2 linked regions of the Schizosaccharomyces pombe genome follow. The protein of the gene in region 1 interacts with the protein of each later gene in a biochemical or structural test. Each region holds a gene or a part of one and is shown on either strand. Other genes may lie near its edges.

Region 1 (5,098 bases):
TTTACATATAAATTGTGTCATATAACCTGCTAACCCAAGTGACAGCGAGAGAGTAAGGTGATGATGGAGTTTTGCGCAGTCTCGCACTTTTACCAAGGACCAAGTTAATCTTGCATTCTTCATATTCGTAAGCATTGTTGAATGCCTGATTATATACTATGAGTCAAACAGAAATAGTTAAAAAACCAAAGCATAAGAGATTTAAGCGCCCGTAAGTTGTCTTGATTACATTCGTTTTTTGGCAAATTGGTTTACTGATCCGTATGTAGTGACAAATCTCGGTTTGTTCAGCAAACACTTCCTGCTTGGCAGTTTATATTCACACCATGGACAGTCTTGCCGTTATTATTCTTATTAGGCATAGTGTTTGCTCCTTTGGGAGCTGGCATGTTTGTGGCCAGTCGACGGGTAAGTCTAAGCATCACGCGTTTCCATAGAGCTATATGTTTCAAATTGATAAACTGGGTATATTTTGCAATACATTACTGTATTTTGGAAAGATATGATTATTTGCGAATAATTTTTATCTGATTATAGCCTTATCCTTTGTCGGTGTTAGCACACGTGTAGCCCGAACGTTACCGAAAATATCATTTTTTCTAGATCATTTGCTAATCAACATTTTATTAGGTCAAAGAGCTGCGAATTGACTATACTGATTGCATGAATATAGGCGATGAGTTTAAACAAGTTCCTTCCACGAATATTGAGTTCCAATATAAAAATGTAAAAAATGTAACAGCGATGTGGAAATCATCAGGCGATGTATGTACTCTTCGTTTCCAAATACCTGAGGAAATGACGAGTCCCGTGTTTGCTTTTTATCGTCTCAAAAATTTTTATCAAAACCATCGTCGATATACTGTTAGCGCCGATATGTTTCAGTTGCTAGGCGAAGCACGAACTGTTGCACAACTGAAGAGCTATGGTTTCTGCAAGCCGTTAGAAGCAAATGAGGAAGGGAAACCTTATTACCCCTGTGGCATTATCGCAAACTCGCTTTTCAACGATAGCTATTCTTCTCTTCTACGATACGAATCCTTTGATAGCTCAAATTCCCTTGGACTTTACAATATGACTACAAATGGTACTGCGTGGCCGGAAGATAGAGAAAGATACAAAAAAACTAAGTACAATGCTTCCCAAATTGTTCCACCTCCAAATTGGGCAAAAATGTTTCCCAATGGATATACTGACGACAATATTCCCGATGTTTCTACATGGGATGCCTTTCAAATTTGGATGAGAGCTGCTGCTCTTCCAACATTCAGCAAACTTGCTCTTCGAAACGTTACTACTGCACTTCAACCTGGCATTTATGAAATGAATATCACTTATAACTTTCCTGTCACAGAATATAAAGGAACGAAAACTATTATGTTTTCAACAACATCCGTTATTGGAGGAAAGAACTACTTTTTAGGAATTCTTTATTTTGTTATCGGTGGGCTCTGCGCCGCGAGCGGTGTAATCCTTAGTATTGCTTGCTTGATCAAACCTAGACGCGTAGGCGATCCAAGATATCTATCTTGGAATAGAGGAAAAAGCTCATAAACGAATTTGAGTATCTTTACCATTTATTTTTACATATACTACTTCATGAACATTTTGGAATTTACTTTCCATTTAATCACTTATGCTAGCTTCGTCTTCCACTTACAATATTCTCTTTTTTATACCAGTTCAGGGTTCATGAACTTGCATCATAACTAAAGCATAACATAATCTGAATAAGACATTTTTTTTTAATCACGTTGTATGAATATCATATCGTATTTTCTTCTTTTACATTGAGAAAGCAATTTAAACGGCCCTTACTGTTAAATATCATAGTCAAGTCACAATTAAACGAATTGGGTTAACGTTTTTTAAATTACCAGATTATGGCAAGCACGTAAAATCGAAGCAGCTAAAATATGGGAACAAATCGTAGGGTGGTGGGAAAGACATCTTCCACCCCAGGTTTCTTGCTCATTTTTGGGCATTGGCTCGTCAAAAGATCTCGAGCTATTAAAAGCATTGTAAGAGAATTGAGAGCATGAACAATACCAATACTTCAAATCAATCGTAGTTTTATTATTCGAATCCACTTCACATTCCCATCGATGTAAAACTTCACCATCGGTTAATGGTAGTGGATGAATGCTTTTAGAATCCAAAATCAGCATAGCAGGTTGCCAGTAGTTACAAAATATAAAACTTAATGACAACCACAAGCTTCCAAAATCCTGGTCTTCCAACAGTAATTTTGACAAAGAGGTGTTGGGTGACTGTTGGAGCGCTTTATCTTGTAAAGAATCTAATAAAGAGCTTATAACTGAACGAATAGTGGAAGAAGGATCTAAATCTTTGTTACACAATGCCTTGGAGAAACTATCATTGTCAACGCCTTCAACATCAGGATCATTAGTGTGAGAAAATTTTGAAGATACAGGTAGAGATGAACTATTTAAAGTTTTACTGTGGTAACTATTCGAAGTAAAATGACCCTGCTGCATTGAAGTTTATTAAGACTCAGCAATGCCCCAAAACATAAAGCTCAAACAACATCCAGAAAACACAATTGATGACAATGAAGATAATAATCTAATTTATTGACTTATGCTGACAAGTTTGGATGATTGAATAGGCTCTTCAAAAAGATTAGCAAATTCGTTTCAAAGTATCACTACTTCTTTGTTCATCAACTCTTACCAAAAGCAAAACAGCAAAAATCTGCTTTGCTTTCGCTTGTTCTAATAAGCGGAAAACACGTAGCAAAGCTATAAACTAATGAAGTTGTAAAAATCACAAATTCGAGGGGTGTCTTTGTTTGCTCTAGTCAAGTATAGAAGATACAAAGTAGAGTTTAATCGTTAAAATTTTTAACTCGTTTTATTTTTCTTAACTAATATTTGCGAAAATAAAGAAAAAGGAACGAACGTTTTACAAGTTAATTTAAGTCGAAAACACTATTTCGAGCAGTTTCAGGAAAACCTCAAAAATCGGTTAGTTACAAAGGTTTCATTACTTGGGTGAAATTTAAAAGTTTTATAAACCAATTTCAAACTTTTTTATCTTTTTAAGAAAGGTGTCGCATATTTTAAAGGCTCGTGAATGGCGAGGACGGCGTTTCATGATGAATTTGTGGATTATTACACCATCCTTGGAGCGGAAAGTACCAGTAGTTATGTCGAAATTCGACAGCAATATTTAAAGCTTGTTTTACGATACCATCCCGATCGTAACCCCGGTCGGGAAGCCGAGGTTCTTCCACAGTTTCAGTTGATACAAAAAGCTCATGAAGTTTTAAAGGATCCAAAGCTTCGAGAGTTATTTGATCAAAGAAGATTACTAGAAGCCGGTCGCCCTGATGGGGTGCTGCGATTCCGTCCAAAAAAAAGTGGACCAAAGAATGATATTTCCACGAAAGTTGCATCCAAGGTTAGTGTCACAATGGCTACCAAATTTGCTGAAAAAAAGAAGAAACAAGACCGGGAAAACGTAGATTCGAAAGATAACAATATCACAAACTTCTCACTTCATCGATCTTTTTCCGCTTCCGGAAAAATGGAAAAGAACAATAGCTTTAAAGAGGTATCTACCTCAAAAAGCTACATATCATCTGGTTATTTGCATCCAAAAACGTCTCCAATTTTTAAGAAGAATGGATATGCTACTGAAAACGTGGTGGATCCAATTTCTAGTAGTCCTCGTTTTAAAGGCCCTAACTATAATAAATTTAATGCCAAGTTGTATTTAGAATCGCTTCGTGAAAAGCGACGCACCTATACTCCGTTGTCTGAGATATCCAATGGTTTGAATTCCAATGGTGTTGAAAATTCTTCAATAACAAAATCCTCTCCAAGAAGTTCTTCTTCATCAAATAATGAACGTTTTAAAGATACATCTGAAGAATCTATTATTTTTACTTCTCCAAACACTCCAGAGCACCCATCCGTTTATCAAACTGATATCACACCTGAAATAAAACTTGAGCATTCTGATAATAATTCACCATCAAAACCTGAAATTCCATTTAGACATCCCACTTCTAAACCTTTACCCCCTAAGCCCTTAAGTCGTTCTAAATCTTCTTCTCTTTCTCGAAATCAAACTCGGTCTCAGCTAAATGACTTGTCCGCAGAGAACGATTCAACATCTAACTCGACTGAGTATGATGACCAGCTTCAGTCGATACTGAGATCCCTTGCCATTGAAGGGGATGATGATGAAGTTGCTAAAGTGCTGCCCAAACCTCCATCCGTTCCAACTATCCAGGCACCCATCCCTCCAGAGGCACCGAGAAACCTGACTAATGCCTCTGTAGATAGCTATCTAAATTCCTTTGAAATGTATCAGAGACGCTGGTCGTCTTATTCTATCATTTATACACAGTATGCATTTCAATGGCAAATCTTCAAAAATAAATGCTTCCAACTCGACTTAATGAATACTCCTGGACAATCACGATTAATTGATAATTGGAAGGAAGGGTCACAAGCTATACAGTTATTTTATGCATATGAACAAATGCATTTGAGAGCTTTGGAAGAACTACAATCTTTAAAGGAAAGCCTTTTCGCATCTTTTGGTATATAATGATTATTATTTCCTCATTAAGTATTAAATTTAGTATTAAAATTTTTATTTGAAAATTTTATTTCTTCTTCATAACGTTTAACATTCAATTTATTAATATTATTTTTTACCCAGTTCACTTACCCATACTTCAAGCATACACCAGAACCAACGACTTTGTAAAAAGGGCATGTGTTTAATAGCTTACTCAGGGAGCGAATTGTAGCACGACTTTTCATTTTATTTTACATTACTCAGTTAATTTAAGATGAGACTTTTTGAAGGGGCTTTTCAGCCTTGGAAATTGGCGTCTACAAACTTGATGCAACAATGCCTTTTATTAAACAAAAAGTCTCAGTTTCATACAACATGCATTTTACAAGGTTTAAAAAAACAAAAAGCCAACCAACGTCGCAAACAAAATTTGAAAAGAAGGGAAGAGCTGCGAAAGCAAAATTTGGATACATTAGCTGACCCTATCATCGGACATTCGAGTGAATGGATAGCGAGATTATTAAAGCCGTACGAAATATTGGTG
Region 2 (4,867 bases), 180 kb from region 1:
TGAACCCTACACTTTTTCTGGGTTGTTGTCTACCTGTATTAAAGTTGGGAAAGCATTGAGAAAAAACACATTATAAAAAGAGGGATGGATGAATTTCAAACTTTGAAACAAAATGCCTCGTGGGATATATCTGAAGACGCAAATGATACACCCAGTTTGCTTGTAGTTATATTAGACGCAAATCCTGCCTCATGGTACTCCCTTTCCAAAAAAGTGCCTGTTTCCAAGGTACTGGCAGATATTACGGTTTTTCTAAACGCACACTTAGCTTTTCATCATGATAATAGAGTTGCTGTGTTAGCTTCACACTCGGACAAGGTTGAATACCTATACCCTTCGATTGCACCTGAGCAAAAAGTCGCAGAAGTAGATCCTACCAAGGAGGCAAATACGTATCGAAAGTTTCGTGAGGTAGACGACTTAGTTTTATCTGGGATGAAGCGACTCATGAGTTCGACTGATAAAGTTTCAAGAAAAACGATGATTTCCGGAGCACTATCTAGAGCCCTTGCATATATCAATCAAGTTCAAAATAAAAATACTCTTCGTTCTCGAATTCTAATTTTCTCATTAACTGGTGATGTTGCTCTTCAGTATATTCCTACTATGAATTGTATATTTTGTGCTCAAAAGAAAAATATTCCAATTAACGTTTGCAACATTGAGGGAGGCACCCTGTTTTTAGAACAAGCAGCAGATGCCACAGGAGGGATTTACTTAAAAGTTGACAACCCCAAAGGCTTACTACAATATCTCATGATGTCGCTTTTTCCGGATCAAAATCTTCGAAAACACTTAAATACCCCAAACCAAGCGAATGTTGATTTTCGAGCTACATGTTTTTGCCACAAAAAGGTTTTGGATATTGGCTTTGTTTGCTCAGTTTGTCTATCAAGTAAGTAGTAACAAAGCTTTACGATAGGCTTTGAACATTTGACCTTTTGCTAACCTCTTTAGTATTTTGTGAACCACGGGTGCATTGTTCTACTTGTCATACCAAATTCACGGTAGAACCTATGTCAAAAAAATTGCACACTTGATAATTCGTTATATTATTATTAAACTATATATTTCTTTGTCTCACACCGGGTGTACAGCTTTATCATATTTGAAACCCTGTTTTTCATTACCTAAATCTCCTTATCCTGGTGATTTGTACAGTCTAGCTCTTTTTTTTTGGCGATTTTTACTTTCTGGCATTTTGATACACTTGAAATGTTAACATTTTTCGGAAGGATCAAACTATTTCCTTAAGGGGCATCCACAAGTAGAAACTTAACGTATAAGCAACTAATTCATTCCAACGTACCCTATTATTATTTATTTCCTTAGAGCTTCTTCTATTATTTCTTCAAGTTGCATTGGCTTCTTTCTTTTCCAAACAGTGCAGTAAGACGAAATTATATACTATTCTTTAATTAATTTACTAACGAATCATTAATGTTGAAGATGCTGACAGAAATTATTTCACAGGAACTTTCCTTTCTACTGTTTATAATCTATTGCATCTCTAATGTTGGTGCTTGATCATTTTAACAATGGCTTTTTTTAAGCTTTTTTAATCAGAAAAGTTATATTACATTGAGATCTATATGAATGCAATTTATAATGAATTGGTTTGATTATTGTAGTAAGGTTACGAATCTTGGTTTTTACATGTAACTCAACCTCTGAATTTCTGTACTGAGCAATAAAAGCGCGGATTGATAATTCATACTAATAGAGCCGGTTTACTTTTATTTGCCCGAATATTCTCAAACTCACAAGTGACGACAAGCTTGAAAAAAAAAAAGTATTTTCTTAAATTCGTTTATTCTGCAATCAGATATTCATAGTTTTTAAAAAAGGAAAAATAATAAAAAGGTTGTAATATATTTGTTCTAAATCTTCAGATTTCAGACGTAAATTAGTCTGATTAACCTTAGGAGCATTACAACCATTGCCTAATCTGTTGATAGATTCAATTACAAACTTCTGACATCCTGAATGTCTATTTTCCACTAATTTTAGAATTTTTGATTGACTGTGCTTTTTAACAGCTCTTTCCCGACTATATAGCGTTTTATTTCAGCAAGACCTCAACAACAAATTTATCATTAACCTTTACGCATAACTCAAATATATTTTGTGCATTTTTTTGTCGGTACTTTAACAAAAGGTCCTTATGTATGTTTTTGAAATAGTTTATTTGGGGTGAACAAATGTTTCGAACAACAAAGCGATATTTCTGCACCTCCTTCAATCGCCGGAAGAATGTCGTAGTGATAGGAGGTGGACACGCTGGCGTGGAAGCCGCTGCTGCTGCTTCTAGATTAGGTGCGAAAACTACTCTTTTAACAAAGTCCTTCGACAATATTGGACAAATGAGCTGTAATCCAGCTTTCGGTGGGATTGGAAAAGGAACACTAATGCGAGAAATAGATGCCTTGGGTGGTGTTGTCAGTGGTGTCTGCGATGAATCAGCAATTCAATTTCACATGTTGAACCGATCGAATGGACCAGCTGTATGGAGTCCCAGAGCACAAATGGATCGGTCGGTCTTCAAAAAAAATATGCAAAAAACTATTTCAACTTATAGAAAAAATCTTCAAGTTAGAGAAGGCGCGGCCGTCTCTATTAATGTTTTGACAGAAGACGATGGTAAACAAGTTTGTGATTCAATTGTTCTTGAAGATGGCACTGCTATTCCTGCCAGTTGTATAGTCATTACTACTGGTACTTTCTTAGGAGGACAAATAAATGTTGGTTTAACACAGTTAGCTGCTGGTCGATATGGCGAGCGACCTTCATTGCCTTTGAGTAAATGTCTTAGCAATTTAGGTTTTAAAATGGGTCGACTAAAAACAGGTACACCTCCCAGATTGAGCTCTCCCATAAATATATCAAAAATGACAGAGCAGACAGGTGACGAAATTCCAGAAACATTTAGTTTTTTAAATTTGGAAAGGGATTTTTCACCGGCATTGCCACAACGTTCTTGCTACAGAACTTATACAACTGAATTGACGCATGAAATTGTTAGGAAAAATCTCGCTTTTGCTCCCCATATGCTTGCTGGTGATATTCTTTCTCCAAGGTATTGCCCGTCATTGGAAGCCAAGGTTACAAGATTCCCTCACAAAGCAAGACATCTTATTTGGCTGGAACCGGAAGGATTGGACCCCAATTCTTGGTGGTATCCCAATGGTCTCAGTAACTCAATGCCTGAAGAAATTCAGCACAATATAATAAGGTCTATTCCAGGCCTGGAGAATTGTAATATTGTGAGACCAGCTTATGGAGTTATGTATGATTATGTTATCCCCACCCAACTAAAGGCAACACTGGAAACAAAAAAAATTCAGGGTTTGTACTTGGCCGGTCAAATAAATGGAACGACGGGTTATGAAGAAGCAGCAGCGCAAGGTATCTTAGCTGGCTTAAATGCAGGTTTAAGTGCTCTTGGTCGTGAGCCAGTAGACATACCGAGAAATACAGCTTTGCTTGGAGTAATGGTCGATGATCTTATTACAAAAGGTGTGAAAGAACCTTATAGGGTGTTCACTTCGAGAAGCGAGTATAGGTTAACTACACGTGCTGATAATGCTGATTTAAGATTGACTCCATTAGCTCAAAGTATAGGTTTATTGGACGACCAAACTCATTGGGAAAGCTTTCAAAGAACTAAATCTTTGTTAGATTTTTCCAATAAAATCGCCAAGGAGTTCATTTTAAGTCCTCAGCAATGGTCAAAGCTAGGAATGCCGATTCCTAATGACGGGAAATATAGAAGTGCTTGGGATCTGTTGAGCTTCACAAATTTGGATCTTTTTTGTGTTATTTCGTGCATTCCTAAACTAAAGGACATTCCCAAAAGGGTACTACAACGTTTAATAATTGAGGGAAAGTATACTTATTATATAAAGCGTCAAGGTACTCAAAATAAACAACTCAATTGTAGAGATGAATCTACAGTAATACCCTCAGATTTTGATTTTGATACTTTACATTCTGTTTCGGCTGAAGAATTAATGCTGCTGAAGACGATTCGTCCAGCTACAATTGGTCAACTGAAACGCATTCAAGGGATTAAACCAGGAACTATTATTCGACTACTTCGCCATACATATTACAACCCAGCAAAAGAGGCATGGTTACGAAAGGTATATATGCCAATGTATGATATGCATTCGAGCGAAGAAAACCAATCTACAAATTTATAACTCTCGACTTAATTTTCACTATATAATAGGATAAAATAATGATATGAATCTCATTTAAAAAATATTTGACAACCAAATACAATTTTTAATAAATGCTTCTCTATGAAAACATTTATTTTCTAAATTTACACCCAAATTTTTAAACAAAAACATCAAGAAAGTTGATTTCTGATGATTTTCATTTCATAAATATTAGATCACGTAACCATATGATTGAAGCACGCTTTGACCGTCGCCAGGAAGATGCGTGCTAATGATTTGAGATAAACGTCCACCCATATTTCTGTTAGCAAGATTCATTTCCGTAGCACAATACTGCTTAAGGTCAGTAATTTGAGGGAATGGATCAACCCTCTTTCCGCCAGTAGTAGCCAATCTGGAAAAGGAAGCTTGGAATGACATCGAATCAGCATCGATTTCGTCCATAAACAATTCTTCATCTGCATCTGTTTGAGCTTGTTCAATAGGCATTTCGAATAATTTGAGGATACAAGTTAATAATGGGATAATAAGATTCTCATAAATTGCGTCTGGGGCGAGTACTAGATCACAAGTAAGAAGTCGCAGTAATCCAAGAGCACTGATTTTCCTATCTAATGGAAGCGCCAATTTTTGTGCTTGAGGAAGAATAATTGAAGTCATCAATTGGCCAAATACTCCAGACT

The links.
Region 2: the proteins of rsp1 (region 1) and ips1 form a complex in vitro, tested with the Schizosaccharomyces pombe proteins (one study listed by BioGRID).

Annotation. Positions count from the first base shown.
Region 1 is NC_003423.3:1,492,552-1,497,649, reverse strand, and holds rsp1 (random septum position protein, DNAJ domain protein Rsp1), read left to right. Parts: upstream 1-2,498; 5' UTR 2,499-3,096; coding exon 3,097-4,581; 3' UTR 4,582-4,598; downstream 4,599-5,098. Other genes in the region: aminophospholipid translocase regulatory protein Ivn1, read left to right, coding at 159-211, 270-408, 631-1,554; sws1 (SWIM domain-containing Srs2-interacting protein 1), read right to left, coding at 1,869-2,498; mrps28 (mitochondrial 37S ribosomal protein uS15m), read left to right, coding at 4,829-5,098. UniProt on the Schizosaccharomyces pombe protein: Has a role in the proper organization of the interphase microtubule cytoskeleton.
Region 2 is NC_003423.3:1,315,711-1,320,577, reverse strand, and holds ips1 (GIDA family tRNA uridine 5-carboxymethylaminomethyl modification enzyme), read left to right. Parts: upstream 1-2,083; 5' UTR 2,084-2,201; coding exon 2,202-4,202; 3' UTR 4,203-4,358; downstream 4,359-4,867. Other genes in the region: transcription factor TFIIH complex subunit Tfb4, read left to right, coding at 85-895, 958-1,040; karyopherin/importin beta family nuclear export signal receptor Kap109, read right to left, coding at 4,395-4,867.